Linked DNA regions of Saccharomyces cerevisiae S288C. Changing the gene in region 3 together with the main gene of any one other region gives a genetic interaction. Each region holds a gene or a part of one and is shown on either strand. Other genes may lie near its edges.

Evidence for each region.
Region 1: mutations in TEF4 (region 3) and HXK1 together harm fitness more than expected from each alone (negative genetic interaction), as found in Saccharomyces cerevisiae (2 studies listed by BioGRID).
Region 2: mutations in TEF4 (region 3) and YIR016W together harm fitness more than expected from each alone (negative genetic interaction), as found in Saccharomyces cerevisiae (2 studies listed by BioGRID).
Region 4: mutations in TEF4 (region 3) and PRM7 together harm fitness more than expected from each alone (negative genetic interaction), as found in Saccharomyces cerevisiae (2 studies listed by BioGRID).

What each region holds. Positions count from the first base shown.
Region 1 is NC_001138.5:253,092-258,236, reverse strand, and holds HXK1 (hexokinase 1), read left to right. Parts: upstream 1-3,187; coding exon 3,188-4,645; downstream 4,646-5,145. Other genes in the region: proteasome regulatory particle lid subunit RPN12, read right to left, coding at 4,908-5,145. UniProt on the Saccharomyces cerevisiae protein: Catalyzes the phosphorylation of hexose, such as D-glucose and D-fructose, to hexose 6-phosphate (D-glucose 6-phosphate and D-fructose 6-phosphate, respectively).
Region 2 is NC_001141.2:380,698-385,414, forward strand, and holds YIR016W (uncharacterized protein), read left to right. Parts: upstream 1-1,930; coding exon 1,931-2,728; downstream 2,729-4,717. Other genes in the region: VLD1 (Vld1p), read left to right, coding at 389-1,117; ribonuclease P protein subunit RPR2, read left to right, coding at 1,251-1,685; MET28 (Met28p), read right to left, coding at 2,859-3,422; YAP5 (Yap5p), read left to right, coding at 3,912-4,649.
Region 3 is NC_001143.9:280,379-284,958, reverse strand, and holds TEF4 (translation elongation factor EF1B gamma), read right to left. Parts: upstream 2,069-4,580; coding exon 1,864-2,068; intron 1,775-1,863; exon of another isoform or gene 1,680-1,774; intron 1,538-1,679; coding exon 504-1,537; downstream 1-503. Other genes in the region: ribosome biosynthesis protein RRP14, read left to right, coding at 2,630-3,934; HOT13 (Hot13p), read right to left, coding at 4,100-4,450. UniProt on the Saccharomyces cerevisiae protein: Subunit of the eukaryotic elongation factor 1 complex (eEF1). Probably plays a role in anchoring the complex to other cellular components.
Region 4 is NC_001136.10:380,756-386,556, reverse strand, and holds PRM7 (pheromone-regulated protein PRM7), read left to right. Parts: upstream 1-2,475; coding exon 2,476-4,572; downstream 4,573-5,801. Other genes in the region: BSC1 (Bsc1p), read left to right, coding at 970-1,956; peptide alpha-N-acetyltransferase complex A subunit NAT1, read left to right, coding at 5,119-5,801.

The DNA.
Region 1 (5,145 bases), on a different chromosome or scaffold from region 3:
CGCCACTCCTAATATAAGTGGTTCTTCCAGTCAAATTTTCAATCATGCTTCTCCCAATCTTGTAAGTAATGTTATCGTACAATGGAAAAGTGCATCAGTCCGTCTATCGTCATTCACATTCACACCAGCATTTTCTAGCGGTGTTAGTACTGTAACATTACGATAACGTCACTCAATATTTATTGAACACATTAGATGCAGAATACTTTACCCGTGGTTCATCTAGCTTCTTCGAAAGCGACAGTAGCAAATCTGAACCTCAATCCACGGGCGTTTTAGTTGCTTCTAGCCAATTCTCAAATGATTCCTTCATAACCTATTTGGACCAGGTATTCACTAGTACCACAACTCCAGTCAGTGCTTTTAGTAAATTTTCGCATACCCCCACTATTGGTACCTCAACTACTGTAGCTAGTAAAACTTCTGATATATTCAATTCATCATCTCTCAGCATTGTTAGAACGGTTGCGCACAAATAGCAGTACTCAACATGTATCTAGCACATTAGCCACAGAATACTTAGCCGCTGATTCATCTATTTTGTTCGAAAGTAAAGATAGCAGGTTTGCATTACAACCAACTTACACAAATCACAAGTATTTTTGGCGATCCCTCAAGCGATTCCCGCCTAATCCGTTCTAATTGGATCTCGACTAATATCACAACTTTAGCAAGCTCCATCAGCAAAATTGCACATATCATTGCAACCAAATCTTTGATTGATTCACCGACCAGCATTCAAACGGACACTGTTATTGTAGTATTTATTAGCTCAAGGGCTGTCACCCCTATAAACTCTAACATTATTTCTGGCCCATTCTTGAGTACTTATTTCCTCTTCTCAGGATACAAGATCTTGTACATTAGTTCCCTTTGTCTTATCCGACTTGTTCGCAATTCTTTAGGCTCAATGGCTAGCTCTAGCCAATTGTCTGCTCAACCTGCTTATACTACCTTAAACGATTTTACTCCGGCCAATCCTCCTGTGCAATTGTCAGACAGTTTGATTCTGTCAGTCATATTCTGACCTACAATTTGACGCTTTCGCCTTTTAACTCATTGAGCAAAAATAATACCGTCATTACAACACATCCAACAATCGAAAAACTGGCTAGTTCGACCACTAAAATGCTAAGGCATAGTTCTAGAGTGCTTCCCGGGTTTCGGATAAATCAATATATTAACAAAGCGAGCCACTTCACCGTCCTCTTTTGAACCCAAAGCTTCTAATATATTCTTCACTTTAACTACTTTCATGACTATATATAAAGAATGGACAATCGCTTTCACAAGCACATATTTCACCAAGTATCTACACTAAATGTCAACAACGTTAGGATGGTGGAAGAGCAATTAATGATTTTAGTACCCTGGTGTCCATTCTCCAGACCTGGCGCCGTGGATAAAACTACGAAGACGTTTGTGGCATCTTCGTTGTTGGACATCCATACATAAGTCGCTTCTGCTACTGTTAAACATACTTCTGTGCCCATAGCGGATAATAATATATATACAAGGAATATCATCGGGCGTCTAAGTTTTGGCATTGAATTAGTGTTTGGTCTAACTAGAGGTACTGATGTAGCCGTCACACCAGGATTTACCAAAATCGTAATCTCTACCAACAGCACCAGTGCAACTCCGCAGAACACTACAGCCGGGACCAAAACACATGAAAGCGGTTCGCTTCCAGCACCAAAAGCTACATCACCTATTCCCGGAGTTATTCTTTGAGCGCACTTCTTTTTAATAGTACTACTTTCCGGCCATTGAATTATGCCGAGAGCTGACAATTTAGTATATTACTGTATATCTAGTTCATTCTTCAAAATAAAGAATGCATAACCATTTTTTTATGTTTTTTCCGGAATTGGCTAAATTCACAAAAAAAAAGAGCATAAAGCGAATTGAATTGTCTCGCCAAGAAAACGCACTGAGAGGACGATTGATCCTCCAGACAAGATCGGAATTTTTACTTTTCTGTTTTTAACAATCACTCATGTGCATTGCACCTTACACATGGCGTTCCAAAGGCTTACCTGGTGTGTTTTCTTCCATGCGCGATTCCGTGCTCACCGCGGCTTCGCCTATATTCTACCTGTACTCTACACGTTTATTGTTAAACAACCCCGGAATATCTTCCATGCCAGTTGTTTCAGGAACAAAGCCCGTGTTGCAAAAAAAGAATGGCGTGGGGTGGGGTGATTATCTAGACCATGGGATGCAACTAGGAAAGTTAAAACTCACCTAGCAAACTGCTGTAATTTCCGCTTCAGAAAACAAGCTCGACTTTTACCCCACGAAGCCTAACCATCGAAAGTAAGACAAAAATTAGCAACCGAAACAGACGGTTAGAATTTTTCTTCGCTGCAGTAAAAGCATTGGCGCCCAGTATTCTCCTTGCACCTGGTCTTACCTCGAACTTTTCTTTTTACATCTTTTTCATTTTTTTACTTTTACCCCGCATCCTGCAAACCCCGGAAATTTTATTAGGAATAATTTATTTCCCGGTTGGAAATAAACCGGAAAAATGAAGATTTAGACGCTTTTAAGGAGTACGTGTTCCTGTCGTTTATCCACTAAGTATACTGGTTGCCCCTGGCCAGATCTCAGTATAGCAGTGACGCGTGGGTTTCAGGAAGAATGGCAGTCCCCTTTTGTTTTTCCGCATTGTGTGAGCTTCTTATGCCCCTGAACCCCACTATTCTGCCCCTTTGAAACTCCCGCACGTGTGCCCCGTTTGTTGGAAGATAGCGAAATACCTTACTGGAGCAACCAGGAAAAATACTCTGGTTGCAAAAACCAACAAAAGAAAAAATGGAAGACCTAAGAACTATGCATTTTTTTTTAAGGGGTTGATGAAAAGAAAAAGTTTCTTTCTCCCCCCGGATTTTGGTACCTTAGGACCGTTGAGAGGAATAGTAACAAGTGAACGCAACAAAGATTGTTCTCAACTGCTTCTGTTTCCTCCTTTTCTTTAAAGAGGAATATTTCGTATATAAGCAATCGGTTTCACTTCCTTGGGAATATTCTACCGTTCCTTCATCTTGTATTCTTCTCTTTCTCTTAGCGCAATATATAGCAGAAGAGCAATAAGAAACAATTGTGGCTTGCAATACTCAATTAGAATTCTTTTCTTTTAATCAAACTCACCCAAACAACTCAATTAGAATACTGAAAAAATAAGATGGTTCATTTAGGTCCAAAGAAACCACAGGCTAGAAAGGGTTCCATGGCTGATGTGCCCAAGGAATTGATGGATGAAATTCATCAGTTGGAAGATATGTTTACAGTTGACAGCGAGACCTTGAGAAAGGTTGTTAAGCACTTTATCGACGAATTGAATAAAGGTTTGACAAAGAAGGGAGGTAACATTCCAATGATTCCCGGTTGGGTCATGGAATTCCCAACAGGTAAAGAATCTGGTAACTATTTGGCCATTGATTTGGGTGGTACTAACTTAAGAGTCGTGTTGGTCAAGTTGAGCGGTAACCATACCTTTGACACCACTCAATCCAAGTATAAACTACCACATGACATGAGAACCACTAAGCACCAAGAGGAGTTATGGTCCTTTATTGCCGACTCTTTGAAGGACTTTATGGTCGAGCAAGAATTGCTAAACACCAAGGACACCTTACCATTAGGTTTCACCTTCTCGTACCCAGCTTCCCAAAACAAGATTAACGAAGGTATTTTGCAAAGATGGACCAAGGGTTTCGATATTCCAAATGTCGAAGGCCACGATGTCGTCCCATTGCTACAAAACGAAATTTCCAAGAGAGAGTTGCCTATTGAAATTGTAGCATTGATTAATGATACTGTTGGTACTTTAATTGCCTCATACTACACTGACCCAGAGACTAAGATGGGTGTGATTTTCGGTACTGGTGTCAACGGTGCTTTCTATGATGTTGTTTCCGATATCGAAAAGTTGGAGGGCAAATTAGCAGACGATATTCCAAGTAACTCTCCAATGGCTATCAATTGTGAATATGGTTCCTTCGATAATGAACATTTGGTCTTGCCAAGAACCAAGTACGATGTTGCTGTCGACGAACAATCTCCAAGACCTGGTCAACAAGCTTTTGAAAAGATGACCTCCGGTTACTACTTGGGTGAATTGTTGCGTCTAGTGTTACTTGAATTAAACGAGAAGGGCTTGATGTTGAAGGATCAAGATCTAAGCAAGTTGAAACAACCATACATCATGGATACCTCCTACCCAGCAAGAATCGAGGATGATCCATTTGAAAACTTGGAAGATACTGATGACATCTTCCAAAAGGACTTTGGTGTCAAGACCACTCTGCCAGAACGTAAGTTGATTAGAAGACTTTGTGAATTGATCGGTACCAGAGCTGCTAGATTAGCTGTTTGTGGTATTGCCGCTATTTGCCAAAAGAGAGGTTACAAGACTGGTCACATTGCCGCTGACGGTTCTGTCTATAACAAATACCCAGGTTTCAAGGAAGCCGCCGCTAAGGGTTTGAGAGATATCTATGGATGGACTGGTGACGCAAGCAAAGATCCAATTACGATTGTTCCAGCTGAGGATGGTTCAGGTGCAGGTGCTGCTGTTATTGCTGCATTGTCCGAAAAAAGAATTGCCGAAGGTAAGTCTCTTGGTATCATTGGCGCTTAATGAAAAAAATGTAATGAAATATAAATGTGTTTTTCCCTCCCTTAATATTATTATTCTTATGAGTGATGCCCTTATGTTTTTTTTGCGGTCTAGTATATGTAAATATAGACACACACATATATATATATTTATGTGTATAATCCTAGCTAATAAACATTTTTAGATTGTTATTAGTATAATTTTTTCCACTTACTTTGTTCTCCGGGAGAGAAAAAGTTGTTTATTTTGTAGTAATTTTGTGCACATATTATATATACAAATATTACACAATATTTTCAATACTTATGGCATAATCCATTGCTTTTTCGATAATGTTTGTCTTTTGGTCTTCTTCATGCATCATTTCATCTTCGTAATCAGCTTTCTCCTTTGATTGGTTATTGAAGTAAACTTTCGAGTTGACAATAGGCCAGTTTCTCTCTAGTGCAAATTTTTCAGTTTCTTTTTCGTTGTTGAAAAAGAGCAAAGCCTTTATGTTGGAGAGAGGGAGAAAGTCGTAG
Region 2 (4,717 bases), on a different chromosome or scaffold from region 3:
AAAGAAAACGTCAAGAATCTTACGCCAAAAGTGCCTAAGATTCAAGTATCTCTGAAAGGCGTACCATTTTCAACAAGGGGCATAGGTGGCCGCAAACTAGGATAATTGACAACTTAGTTTCATATTGACAATGTCATCGCAATTGAGGAGATAGCCATAATTCGGGAGGGTACAAAACCTGACCTGCTAGTGTTCAACTAATGCATCATGGGTACTATAGAGAGCATTCTAGTGGTAGAAAAAAAAAAAAAAACAAACTTTAAACCGGGTAATATAAACTTCTCATATGGCTTTTCTCCAGGGAAAGAAAGGGAAGGGATACTTCAATGACGAAGGCTTAGATGACAAGCTAATACAGAAAGGGAAAGGAGCAGGGCATCGGAAGGAAATGTTGCATTTGGAAGATGACAATGGACGACAAAGGTCAGTGATAGCGAATTTGCAGAAATTCGTTTATTGCTGCCTGTACTTGAGGTTTATCAAAGATGGATCATTATTCTTGATCCTCCTGGGGTGGATAATTTCATCGCTCTGTGATTTCATTCAGGAATTGACACTCAGGTACCTGAAGAAGAACTATTTAGAGGTGGGCCGCGACAATGATCAGGAAGATGATGAAAGTCTTGCCATCAGAGGGTTAGAAACACCTATTGTAAGAATGATAATAAACAAAGCCATACGATATTACCAAGGCCTAATACTTCTAGAAACAGCGTACTGTATAGTATACCACATTAGGCTAGACGTATCGAGAGACATATGTTCCAAACCGTACGGATTTGTGATAATGCTTTTGATAAGGGAATTTACTTGTCCGGTACCCACAGCGTTTCCTAGCAAGCTACTTCTGGTACTACTCGATATTTTATTACTTTTCTGCCAGATTGTAATAATAAACGGCTCACTGAGCTCGAGTCTTCAGAACGTGAAACTTATTGTCAAGGAGTTGAATGCAGAAGAAGAGGGCGCACTCAACATTCTCAAACTTAATACCTGGCACATGGATGCAACCGGACCGGAACTCATAGTACTCAAGAATCATGACAAGTCGATTCCTCAACAGGCAGACGGGGATGACGCTACAGAGATCACTCCTCTACTGAATATCGCCGAATAAATTCAAGAAAGGAAAAGAAAAAAAATTACCAAAATGAAAAGAACGGAAAAAAAAGATGAACAGAAAATAAAACAATACGTGGTTCTTCTACTGTCCTTCCCACATCGCCGACAGAGAAAAGACAAGCAAAAAGATGGGCAAGAAAGCACACGGAGGAAAGATGAAACCTGAGATCGACGAAAATGGTACTCTGCTAGTACCGCCACCAAGGACGATTGCGAACCAGGACCATTTCCATAGATTAAACTACCTCTACCAAATATCCGCTTACCAAACAAGAGCAAGACAGAAAGCAAGAACAGACGCACATACGCCTTTGGCACGCAATTATATCAAATCAATGGACCTAATTAGTAAGAAAACCAAGACATCACTGCTTCCTACGATAAAGAGAACAATTTGTAAAAAATGCCATCGGTTGTTATGGACCCCAAAAAAACTGGAAATCACATCCGACGGAGCGCTTTCGGTAATGTGTGGGTGCGGTACCGTTAAACGTTTTAATATTGGCGCCGATCCTAATTACAGGACCTACTCGGAGCGGGAGGGTAATCTACTAAATTCTTAGGGTTATTGGTAGGGTTTTGGACCAATGTTTTGAGCAGGACAAAAATGCGGAGTTTCCAGATTTTCTTTAAGAGCCGACCCCCCACCCCCTTGCCCCTATACATGGGGTACGTGCCTGTATTTTGAGGGAAAACTACGACATAAAACACAGGGAAAAAAACGAGACGCCCGTTTGAAGAAGGTAATGTAGGATTCCGTCTTGCCAGCATAGCGGATAAACACCGCAAGGAGGTGTTGTGGTCGGTAATGAGTGGCACGAGGTGTTTGCTAGGCGTCGGACTACCAGTTGATGTGACTGCTACGGAAACTTTGACTCATGATGAACAAGGACCAGGTGTAGAGCCAGGACCGTGTTCGCGAGGAAGTTCTATAGATGGTCTGCTGCCCTCGTTGCTCGGTCCACATGATGATGTGGATGACGATTCGGCGGCTTTTCACAAGTACATGACACTATCGCGAGATGGCGCAGGCGCCATCCATGCTCCGTCATTAGTCGAAGACGCCTCAAGGAACGACGACGACGACGATGATGAAGACGACGACGACAGTTCCATGTCGCGAGACCTATCCAAGGCTCTAGATATGTCATCGTCATCATCGTCCAGCCCGCGCGTTCAAAGTCGGCGGCACCGTAGTTCTGTGAGCGCAATATCTGCAATCTTACACCAAGGAAAATCTGGCCGCGAAGACATAACTGGAAGCCTTAGCGTTCCGGCAGAACAAGAAAAACTCAGTTTTCTTGCCAAAGCCTCGAGTATTTTCTTTCGAAGGAACAGTATGCCCAGAGACAAACATACGCATTCAGTATGTCCCGCTAGCCGCCCAGATTCCGAGAGATTTATCGTCACATCTGCAGCCGCGCAGTCTTTACGCCGCCAACAACAACTGGAAGACGCTCAGTACGCTCGAGTTATTACAAACTTTCGTACTATAGGATGGTGCTCTCCCAGCGAGATAGAGTCTGTGGAATATAAACGGTCCTTGATCAATGCGGAGTGGGACGAAAAGATCTCGCTTTTGTCTCACGCGCAATGCTATAAATAATAAATATACATATATATATATTTATATGTAGATAGATGTGTGTATATATATGCTAGGTAAAGAAACGGAAAAATCGAAAAATCGAAGTTGGAGAGGAAAAACAAGACATCAGGCCCGCACGTTTCGCGGGCTACCTGCCCATGTTCCGTCTCTTAATGTCATTCAACAATTTCAAAGACTTAATCTCGTTAATGTCATTGAGCTTTGCTTTCCAAAACTCATTTTCCTTGTTCAATTGCTCTATACGATCGCGAAGTTTGTTGATTTGCGTGTTTAAGTTCTGCAGCTTATTCATGTTCTCAAAATTCTTTTGTTTCTTGCGAATGCGGAACCGCTGCGACGCCTCTGTGTTCTTTCTTCTCCGCTCTTGCTTAATCTTATCCAGTTCGTTAGAAGTGCTCACGGGAGCTTCCTCTTCTTTTACAACAACTGCTGTTGTTGCGGCAACCTTCCCCTTTCTCGGCTCGCGGAGCTTCTTAAACTGCGAGACATCCTGGCCATTATTTATCATGCTAATGAGCTCCTCCGCGTTGCCACTGCTAACCAGCAGCAATGATAGCAAGCGCGAGCCCAGCTCTGAATCGCTTGATATCAGGTTCTGTAGATGTTCCGAAAGATTGTTCACGTTCATACCCTTCCTGCTTGCAATGTCAATGTTTGTTGATTTCTTTTCCCACCCTTGTTTCGCACTCATATTGACGAACAAAACAATTTGTCTTCGTAACTACCACTGGTTATAAATAGTTAAATTCAAGTTACCTCGTGTTCTTAGTCATTGGCTGCCCGGCCTTGACTCACGCCAGTGACCTACAACTATGGCGTTTCCGCTTCCCGCCCAAAACTGTGGTGTTAGAAAGTAGAAAAAGGTGAAAAAAGCGAAACCTAAAACCAAAAAAAAAAAATAAGTCACGTGCACTCAGTACCCCTTCTATTGTATTTTAGTTTACCTATTGGGCCGGGCGGGCCCCACAACTGTGGCATCTTTCAGATCATTTTTTTCCAGAATGCATGGAACTGACGAGTGAACTTTTATTCCACGGAAAAGGACAAAAAGGTGCAGTAATGGAATGGTCTTTTTGCACGGCAGTGATGTCGCTATCATATCAATCACTGAAAGTGAAGTTAACCATATTACAACAAGTTCACACAACATAAACAGTGTAACTAGCATATTATCACAGTCATGGCTCTACCTCTGATAAAACCTAAGGAGTCTGAGGAAAGCCACCTCGCTCTTTTGTCCAAGATCCACGTGTCCAAAAATTGGAAACTGCCTCCAAGGTTGCCCCATAGAGCAGCTCAGCGGAGGAAAAGAGTTCATCGACTTCACGAAGATTACGAAACTGAAGAAAATGATGAGGAGCTACAGAAGAAAAAACGGCAGAATAGAGACGCCCAAAGGGCCTACAGAGAACGCAAAAACAACAAGTTGCAAGTGCTGGAGGAAACCATAGAGTCACTGAGTAAGGTCGTTAAAAACTACGAAACGAAACTAAACCGCCTCCAAAATGAACTTCAAGCGAAAGAATCGGAAAATCATGCCCTTAAACAGAAATTGGAGACCCTTACTCTGAAACAAGCCTCTGTGCCTGCTCAGGACCCTATCCTGCAGAATTTGATCGAGAATTTCAAACCAATGAAGGCGATACCTATTAAGTACAATACCGCTATCAAGCGCCACCAGCACTCGACAGAACTGCCTAGCTCTGTCAAATGCGGCTTTTGTAACGACAACACTACTTGCGTTTGTAAAGAACTGGAAACAGATCACCGTAAAAGTGACGACGGTGTGGCCACAGAACAGAAGGATATGTCGATGCCACATGCAGAGTGCAATAATAAAGATAACCCCAATGGGCTCTGTAGTAATTGTACTAATATCGACAAATCATGTATCGACATCCGGTCCATCATCCACTGAAGAGAGAGAACTTCTTAATACTTATAAATACGTCATTGAACAGCTCAACTTTTGTAACGTCAAAAGAA
Region 3 (4,580 bases):
TATACCTCCTTTGTTTGTGTTTCTAAAGCACTGTGACAAATCCTGCTTGAAAGCACATGATATCACCAGACGTGTTGCACTATCTTCAGTTCTATCCTAAATTGTTTTCCAGTCTTAAGATAAAATTCATTCCAGTTCGGGTAACATACACCGTTTATGACTGACGCTTCTCTTTACGGAAAATTGTTTTTTTCGCTATTGTTGCAAAAGTACAATGGAAAATGCCCCACTGAAACATGAAATAAGAAGAGAAGAATCAAGTTTATGCAAAATATTGTTAGAGTAACCGCAGCAGATTGTGATACTCAATTAGAGAGATTATTACAATATATATATATATAATGATTACATGGACGTTAATCGTTACATAGAATTAAACCACGCGTAAGTATGGGGTAATCATGAAGTAGACTTCAGGGTTTTTTTCTTTTTTCTTTTGAAAATTCGTTTTGTTTGACTCTTATGTATATTGGGAAGAAAATATGGAAGAAGAGTTATTGAGATTATTTCAAAACCTTACCGTCAACAATTTCCTTATCTTCGCCATTGACAACAACAGGCTTATCCCAAGCCCACATGTTGTTGACAAATTCTTTGTCTTCTTCCTTGGTTGGGTCCAACTTGGTGTATTCGTAAGATTCCCAGTCTGGAGCGACATCAAAGGCTGGAGCGAAATCTTGGCCTCTGACCATAACGGCACCAACAATACCATTATTGTTGTTTTCACCATAGACAACTAAACAACCGAACATGTACTTAGTAGAAGCGGACAATCTGTTGAAAAAACCACCGACCAAGTTGTTGGACATGAAAGTCAAGGTAAGTTCGTCGTTGTATTTGTAACCAACCTTCCAGATGGAGTATTCTTCAGGGTTGTAGTGTTCCCAGAACCATGGCAAAGCAACTGGTCTGGTGTCGTCGTTGGAGTACTTTCTCTTCCAGTCATCCAAGACAAATGTGGACTTTCCTAAAGCTTCCAATGGGTGCTTTGGCTTTTTAGCTGGAGCAGCATCATCTGCTGGCTTAGCTTCGTCCTTCTTCTTTTCAGCCTTTGACTTTTCGGCCTTTGGCTTTTCAGCCTTTTGCTTCTTTGGTGGAGTGTAGGTTAGAGCCTTTTCAGCCAATTTGACTTCAGCAAATGGAGTCTTCACGATTGGAGAAGCAGCAACAGTGTTGAACCATCTCATCAAATGAGGATGCTTAGCTCTCCATTCAGGGCCCAAAATAGTGGCCAAACCAAAAGCCCAAGAACCAGCGGCATGAAGGTCACCTAGAGAAATGTTTTCGGTAGCAACAAAGGTGTAGTCTCTCAATCTAGCATCGAAGACAGCAGCTAGGTTGTCGATTTTAACAAAACAAGCATCAACGTCTTTCTTGTTGTATGGAATCAAACCTTTGAAAGAAAGGAATGGACGAGCAATGTTGCTCATGACATCGGAATTAGCTAGAGATGCCCATCTAAGGATTTGAGACTTTTCGATAACGTCGGAACCTAATAAGCGAGCTCTTTCTTTTTCATCGGCAACTTGATTAGCCACTAAATATACATCATCTCGATGGTTATACAACCATTAATTGAAGAAATGTTAGTAAAACAATCCTTTATATTTTTTCCTGGATTAGGACACGCTTTGTACTTCCTTTTTGTTATTTTGACTTTCATTTTTCTTTAAGAAACATATCAGAAATACAAATATCAACATATGAGAGGTTACCTATTATTACCCATTCAGACAGGGATAACTGTTTGATAAAATTTTTTTTCATCATTATGTTTCGAAGAAAAATGACGTGCCAAATAAACGAACGGGAAACGCGCAAAACAATGTATGTGGAAGTGTTAAAATAAAATATGGAACATACAATAAAATTGGATAGCCAAAGCTTCAGTTAGCTTTAAGCCCTTTGGACCCAAAAATGCAGGGGCTTGCTTCAATGGGAACAAAGAAGCAAACTCGCTAGATTGTTCTAGATCAACGATCTTGACATCTAGTTTAAAGTAAGAAATCAAAGCTTCAGAAGCGTAGTTTCTTGGAGATCTATTAATGTATAAAGTACCTTGGGACATCTTGAATCTATCGAGGGCCAAAATCAAAGAATTGAGTTGGTATTAAGGATGGACACCAGTTTTGAACAAAATTAACGACGGAATGGATGAATTAAATATGAAAAAGAAAGTATTGCAAACTGTTGATGAAAAAAATTTTTCTTTCAATTTTGTCAGCAGCAGAGCGCATTACCCTGCCGGCCACATGCCGAATTAAATTAAATGAGGGCTGCTATTGCCAAATGTGATGGCTTGCCTACAGAGGTTAATTTCCCTTGTTTTGGGCTTCCTCTCTCAACACGATTGACACAAGCAATAGAGGCAAAGGTGTGTAATGAGTTCGTGTACCAATTAAAGTAAAGTAGAGTGGTTTAATTGGGATTACACGATTAAAAAGTTTCACCCAGACACCAAATTGAAAATTTTTTAAAATGAATTCTTTTTATTCTCATCTCCGGTAAAGAAAAGAGGAAAGTACAATAAAAGAGATGAGATGACCAAGAGATGAATAACAAGTGAGGACTGAGACGTTGTTGCAAGTGATAAAGAAAGTCCGGGAATTGAAAGATATAGGAGACTGAGATGAGTAATTCACTTGAGGAGCGCCTTCGTGCTAATTCAAGCGCCTTCGATGGTTTATTGGCTTTAATTCCTGCAAAATACTATTATGATGAAAAAAGTCAAGAGCAATGGAAGGCCAAGAAGAAAACCAAAGAACAGAGTAAAAATGATAAACTGAAAAAATTAGACCCGGAGCAACGTGATGATGAAACATCTAGTACATTAGAAGTAATGAAGAAGAAGGAGAAAGACGCAAAGCCGGTGGTCCTACCTGGTGAAAAATTCAAGCACATGAAAATGCAAAAGCAAAAGGAAGCAACATCAAAAGTGGAAGGAGACTCCGACCTGAACGTAGAAGTAAACGATCCTATGATAATAGCACCAGACGAAGATGAAGAAGAGGAAGAGGATATTAAGGTGATCTTTGATGATGAGGGAAATGAAATACCATTAGAATCTAAAAAAGATACTACAGAGCCCGATAGATCTGTCGAAAAGAAGTCTATTACAGAGGAAGAGAAACTACAAAGAAAGAAAAACTTGGAAGCACTACGTTCCAAGTTACAAGCGAAAATTTCAGATATGAAGAGTAAAAGGAAAGCACCCGGTTCTAGAGAGGCTATTCTTGCTCAAAGGAAACGCAAGGAAGAGTTGAAAAAAAGAAAGCGTCTAGAAAGTGAACAGGAACAGGATCAGGATGAAATTGCGTCTGATTCCGATATGGAAGACATCGATAGTGATTTAGAAAACAATTCGAAAAAAAGATTCAAAAAAGGCAAGAAGGACTCAGAAATTAACGCAGATGGTGTAATGTTTCAAAATATCATATTCGATGATGGTGCAAGGGCCACTTCAGATTTACAAAGGTTAAGAAAAGCTGGTAGAACGAAGGGTCCGGCTAAGAATGATGTAAAATCACACTTAAAGTTATTAGAAGCCAAGAAGAATAAGATGGAGGCGAAAGACGAACTAGAACAAATCAAGCAGAAGGAAAAGGAAAAATGGCAAAAGGCTATGTTACAAGCAGAAGGAATTAAGATTAGGGATGACGAAAAACTACTTCGCAAAGCTATAAAGAGAAAGGAAGCACAAAAGAGAAAGTCTGCGATTGAATGGAGCGAACGTAAGAGGGTTGTGGAAGACACGATATCTGAAAGACAAAAGAGAAGAGAAGAGAATCTGAGGATTAGGAAAGACAACAAGGGTAAAAAGAGAAATAAGCAAGAAAAGATGAAAAGAAAGTATGTCGGTAGTGCCGTACCAAAGAAAAGAGCCGGATTTGAGGGTAGATTAAAAACAGGTAAAAAGAAGGGAGGACCTAAATAATAATCACGATAATAATAACAACAATAATAGATATATATATATGTATGAACATATATATACAGATACATATATATATATATATATCTATATATATACCATCGCATTTTTTCCTTAACGAGAAGAGCACAGCAGAGCTTAAGATGGCATGCATTTATAGAACAACACTCAACACATAGCGGGGGGAGGGTTCTGGAAATACAAATGGTAGTGCAATTTACAGCCTGGATTAAAGGGGGATCTGCAATTGGGACAAATAAGGTTTGAATTGTAGTCGTAATACTCTGCAAACGTCATTTCATGACGGCAAACTCCGCAAATAATCAAGTGTTTATTTGCATCGTCAAGGAGATCATATTTTTCTAGCGGGTGAGAACTTAACTCTTGGTGGCATTCAAAGCACGCATAGTACTTATCACAACATTTAAACCTGATGGCAATTACATCCTTTGGAAGATGCCAGTGGACACATCGAGATTGGTCATCCACTGTCTTACCATAAATGGCAGTTTCGATCATCTATATTTGCAAATTGTAAGTGGTACGTATTTTTTTTTTTATATCATATATGTATATTTAAAGAAACTCGTAAACCGAAACGTTTATTCATCATTATCATCATCATCATCATTATCATCACCATCACACC
Region 4 (5,801 bases), on a different chromosome or scaffold from region 3:
TACTATTCCGTTAGAATGGAAGGGGGCCATATGATTCTGATTTTCTTGGCCTGGGGGGATGGAAATTTTCCTTTTAGAGCTGCCTGTACAAGACCGAGTGTTCGTTCCTCCTTTAGCATAGAAAATACGGTTATTAGATTATTGGGGCATTTGGCCTGCTTCCATCTTAACGCGAACAAATACTATTCAAGAACTTGTGCTACCTCTTGAAACCAAATGTTAAACTGTTCTGCCATATTTGAAAATAATTTCAAAGTTGTGGGAAAAATATTTTGCCATCATACGACAAACGTTTCTCTGGCTGTGACTGATAGTCGTGTAGGTCCTGTATTATCTTGCTGACAAACATCTTAAAAAGTCTTTTGGAAAAAGAAAAAAATAAACTTTCCTTCTTTTTTTTTTGGTTCCTGCGGCTCTTTCAAGGGGCTGCCAAACCTTATATTCTCCTCCTGTCATTTTAGAAGGAGAGGTAGCGGTCTTTTCTTTTTTTTCGTGCCTACACGCGCACATGACGATAAAACTGGCCCAGGCGAGATCAGATCAGCATTTGCACGTTGCATTTTACTTGTTTTCTTATTGGCAAAGAAAAAAAGCTCGGAACAAGCCACTAATACCCGATTCTATGCTTACAGAATAACCGATACTACTGGAAAGAAAAATTTTTCACATTAGTTCGCTGCATCTCCATGATCGTTTAATTATTTTATATTTAAGAGAAGCAAATCACTTCCTCCAATGTCATGATGGTCTTGGCAATTTTCCTCCCCTTGTTGCAAAAGTGTAAAATAGGTATCCACATCATTCATAAGAAAACTACTAATATCATTTTGCCTCCTATTTGCGGCCTTGCTCACAAATTCAGCGACTGCTGATAGAATTGATGACAAGGTGAGCCCTTCATTTGATCTAAGCAAAAGAGACGAAAGCGTTGCTATCAATGGTTGTCCAAATTTGGATTTCAACTGGCACATGAGCCAACAGAATATACTACATTATGATATGGATGTTACTTCCGTATCATGGGTCAAGGATAACACATACCAGATTACTATTCATGTCAAAGCCGTAAAAGATATCCCTTTGAAATATTTATGGTCTTTAAAGATTATTGGTGTCAACGGTCCCTCAAGCACCGTACAACTTTACGGCAAAAATGAGAAGACATACCTAATCAGTGATCCAACAGATTTTACATCCACTTTTCAGGTTTATGCTTACCCTTCTTCTGACGGTTGCACAGTTTGGATGCCAAATTTCCAAATCCAGTTCGAATATCTACAAGGTGATGCTGCTCAGTACTGGCAAACTTGGCAATGGGGGACAACCACCTTCGATTTATCGACAGGTTGTAACAATTATGACAATCAAGGCCACTCACAAACGGATTTCCCTGGATTTTATTGGACCTACCAGTGCAAGGGAAACAATGATGGCACTTGTACAAAAGCCTCGTCTTCATCCATTACTACTTCATCCATTACTACTTCATCCACTACTACTTCATCCACTACTACTTCATCCACTACTACTTCATCCTCTACTACTTCATCCTCTACTACTTCATCCTCTACTACTTCATCCTCTACTACTTCATCCTCTACTACTTCATCCTCTACTACTTCATCCTCTACTACTTCATCCTCTACTACTTCATCCTCTACTACTTCATCCTCTACTACTTCATCCTCTACTACTTCATCCTCTACGAAAACTTCCACTACTACGTCATCTACTGTGAAAAGCTCTTCCACTACATCCATTGATTTTACTACTTCCGTTGACTCACATACTTCATCAAGCGTAGCCGATATTTATCGTTCAAGAACATCTACTGATGTCACCACATTAGCAGCTTCAACTAGTCCTTTCAGCAGTTTCACTTCAAGTGACTCTAGTAGTTCAAGCGATGTAACCAGTTCAACCATTCAAACTACTTCTGTTGATCCAACCACTTAAGTAGTAAGTTCAAGTTCAGAAGACCCAACTAGTTCAAGCGCTGTGACTACTTCAGTTGACCCAACTACTTCAGTTGACCCAAATACTTCAGCTGATCCAACTACCTCGACCGTTCAAACTACTTCTGTTGATCCAACTACTTCAGTTGACCCAACTAGTTCTATAGTCAGTTCTACTTCAGTTGATCCAACTACTTCAGTTGACCCAACTACTTCAGCTGACCCAACTACCTCGACCGTTCAAACTACTTCAGCTGATCCAACTACTTCCGTAGTCAGTTCAAGTTCAGCTGATCTAAGTAGCTCTGTTATCAGTTCAAGTTCAGCAGACCCAACTAGTTCAAATGCTGTGACTACTTCAATTAACCCAACTACTCCAGCTGATTCAACTACTTCGGCCGTTCAAACTAGCCCAGCTGATCCAAGTAGCTCTGTTACCATTTCTACTTCCACAGACTCTACATCTTCAATTGAGTATACTACATCGGATGATCCACACGCCTCATCAAGTTTAGCGGCTATGTATCGTACAAGAAGCTCTGACGAGGTAACCACATCAACAGATCTAACTAGCTCAAGTGACGTTGCTACTTCAGTTGACCCAACTACTTCTGTTATCAGTTCAACTTCAGCAGACCCAACTACTTCAGCTGACTCAACTACCTCGACCGTTCAAACCACTTCAGCTGGTCCAAGTAACAACATCGGCAATTCCACTTTGGCCAATTCCACTACTTTTGCAGTTAGTTCCACTTCAATTGACCCAACTAGCTCGAGCGATGTGATTACTTCAACCGTTCAAACCACTTCAATTGAACCAACTACTTCTCTCGTCAGTTCAAACGATATTACTACTTCAACAAGTCTAAATATCTCTGTCGTGATTTCCACTTCCACGGACTCTACATCTTTAATTGAGTCTACTACAACAGTTGGTCCACATGCCTCATCAAGTGTTGCTGGTATGTATCGTACAAGAAGCTCTGACGAGGTAACCACATCAACAGATCCAACTAGCTCAAGTGACGTGGCTACTTCAGCAGATCCAACTAGTTCAAGCGCTGTGACTACTTTAGTTGACCCAACTACTTCTGTAGTCATTTCAACCTCAGTTGATCAAACTAGCTCAAGTGACGTTGCTACTTCAGTTGACCCAACCACTTCTGTTATCAGTTCAACTTCAGCAGACCCAACTACTTCAGCTGACTCAACTACCTCGACCGTTCAAACTACTTCAGTTGATCCAACTAGTTCTGTAGTCAGTTCCGCTCCAGTTGATCCGGCTAGTTCTGTTGTCAGTTTAACTTCATCTTACCCAACTAGCTCAAGCACTGTGACTATTTCTGCTAATTCAAACGGTTCAGCTACTTTAGCGGCTCAAACTACTTCAATTGATCCAGTTAGCTCCATCGTTAGTTCAAGCGGTGCAACTACTATCATCAGTAGCGCCTCAATTGATCCAGCTAGTTCTGTAGTTAGTTCAACTTCATCTGAACCAACCAGTTTTATTGTCAGTTCAACCTCAGTTTATTCAACCAGACCAAGTGGTCCAACTACTTCAACAGATCTAGCTACTTTCTCTGACACAATCATTCTAAGGGTTTCAACCACTTCAACCAGCCAAGATACCCAAACAGTATCATCTAGTCTAACTGATATGGTTTCCTCAACTGGTTCAGCTGATTTGAGCGTCTCATCCATTCAAAGATCTCAAGTAGACCCAAGCACTTTCGCTGTCTCGAATAGCCCAGTATATCCAACAGCTTCGACCGGATCAACTTCCACGGGCATTCCAATTGCGTCGGAAAGTCTAAGCCTTTCTAGACAGCAAGGAATTTCGGCCACTTCAAGTTCTTCGATTGTAACTTTAACCCCAGTTGATTCGGCTTCCTCGAGTAGGTCAAGCGCAACAAGTATAATCAAGCCTAATATGCCAGTTAGCAGCAATGATTCGAAGACCCAAAGTTCTGTTTCTGTAGTTGACGCATTCCAATCAACTAAATCTTCATATCCTAGCATAACTTCAGCAGACCCAACGACTCTAGCCAGTGAAAATGGTTTAGTCGGCTCATCTTCCTCAGCTCATCCAATCACATTAGATAGAACTTATGCATCAGCTCACGCAAGCGTCACCGATATTGTCAGTAGAGTTACTGACTCGACTCGCCATACAACACTAGTAACTTCAAACATTAACATTCAGTCTGAGGTTGGGAACCCAAATTACTCGGGTCCCAAAGACACTACCATCACCAAACAATCTGCATTTATGACTTCTCCTGCATCAACGTCTACTATAAGTAACGTTCAATCAACTGCTTCCGTAATGAATCACAGTATTGAGGACAATATTTCTGCAGCTGCCTCTCTAGAAAGTGTTTCTGGTACCTCAACTAAAGATTATTCTAGTCAATCCAGTGCCATTCATTATACAAATTCCTTCACGACCACCACTACTAACGCATTTATCACATCAAAGCATTCCATTGCTGCTGTATCAACAGGAGCCATTACATCATCTGCCAGCATTTCATTAATCATGGAAGGCAGCGCAAACATTGAAGCAGTAGGAAAATTGGTGTGGCTCGCTGCCGCTCTTCCTCTAGCTTTCATTTAGTCATTCTACCATCTTTCATGTCCCTACGCCATTCTCGTTCGTATACCATATAAACCAATTATAGATTTTACATAGAATAATAGTTAAATTTGATTATAGAATATCTTCGGATTCAATAAAAAATTATTATTATCAGACTCTTTCTGTCCACTCCTTGAAGTATGCAAAGTGCTTCGAGAACGCCATGACATTCGACAATTCAAAATTGAGAGAGGACTGCTAAGGAAACTCTTTGAGTTGATTATATAATCGCTATTTAATCTTTTAAAGGGGGAATACTGCTAAATTTTCATTATTGTACAACTGGAGACATGATAGGCCTGAAATGTGCCACCAAATTGCATGACCTTGCTAATGAGGTCGCTGGGTTGCGTATGCACTTTTTACCCTGCTCCGCGTCGAAACAGAACATAATACAGAGTAAAGAGGAAAGAGCGAAAATGAAAAAGTTTCTACACTCAAAAGTCAAACCTTTTTAAAAAGTGATGTTCAGATTCCTTGTTTAAGACAAATACCATTGAGGAAGGCGATTGACCCTAACGAAGTATGTCTAGGAAAAGAAGTACTAAGCCCAAGCCAGCAGCTAAAATAGCTTTGAAAAAAGAAAATGACCAGTTCCTCGAGGCATTGAAACTATACGAAGGGAAGCAATACAAAAAATCTCTCAAGCTGCTAGACGCAATTTTGAAAAAAGACGGTAGTCACGTTGATTCCTTGGCTTTAAAGGGTCTTGATTTATATTCTGTAGGTGAGAAAGATGACGCTGCTTCCTACGTGGCTAATGCCATCAGAAAAATTGAAGGCGCTTCAGCATCACCAATCTGCTGTCATGTATTAGGTATCTACATGAGAAACACCAAAGAGTACAAAGAATCTATTAAATGGTTCACGGCAGCTTTGAACAATGGGTCCACTAACAAGCAAATATATAGAGACTTAGCAACTTTGCAATCACAAATTGGCGATTTCAAAAATGCTTTAGTGTCCAGGAAAAAATATTGGGAAGCATTCCTTGGTTACCGTGCCAACTGGACATCATTGGCTGTGGCACAAGATGTGAACGGTGAGAGGCAACAAGCTATTAACACTTTATCTCAGTTTGAAAAACTCGCTGAGGGAAAAATATCTGATTCCGAGAAATATGAACACAGCGAGTGTTTAATGTACAAAAACGACATTATGTATAAAGCTGCCAGTGATAACCAAGACAAGTTACAAAATGTATTGAA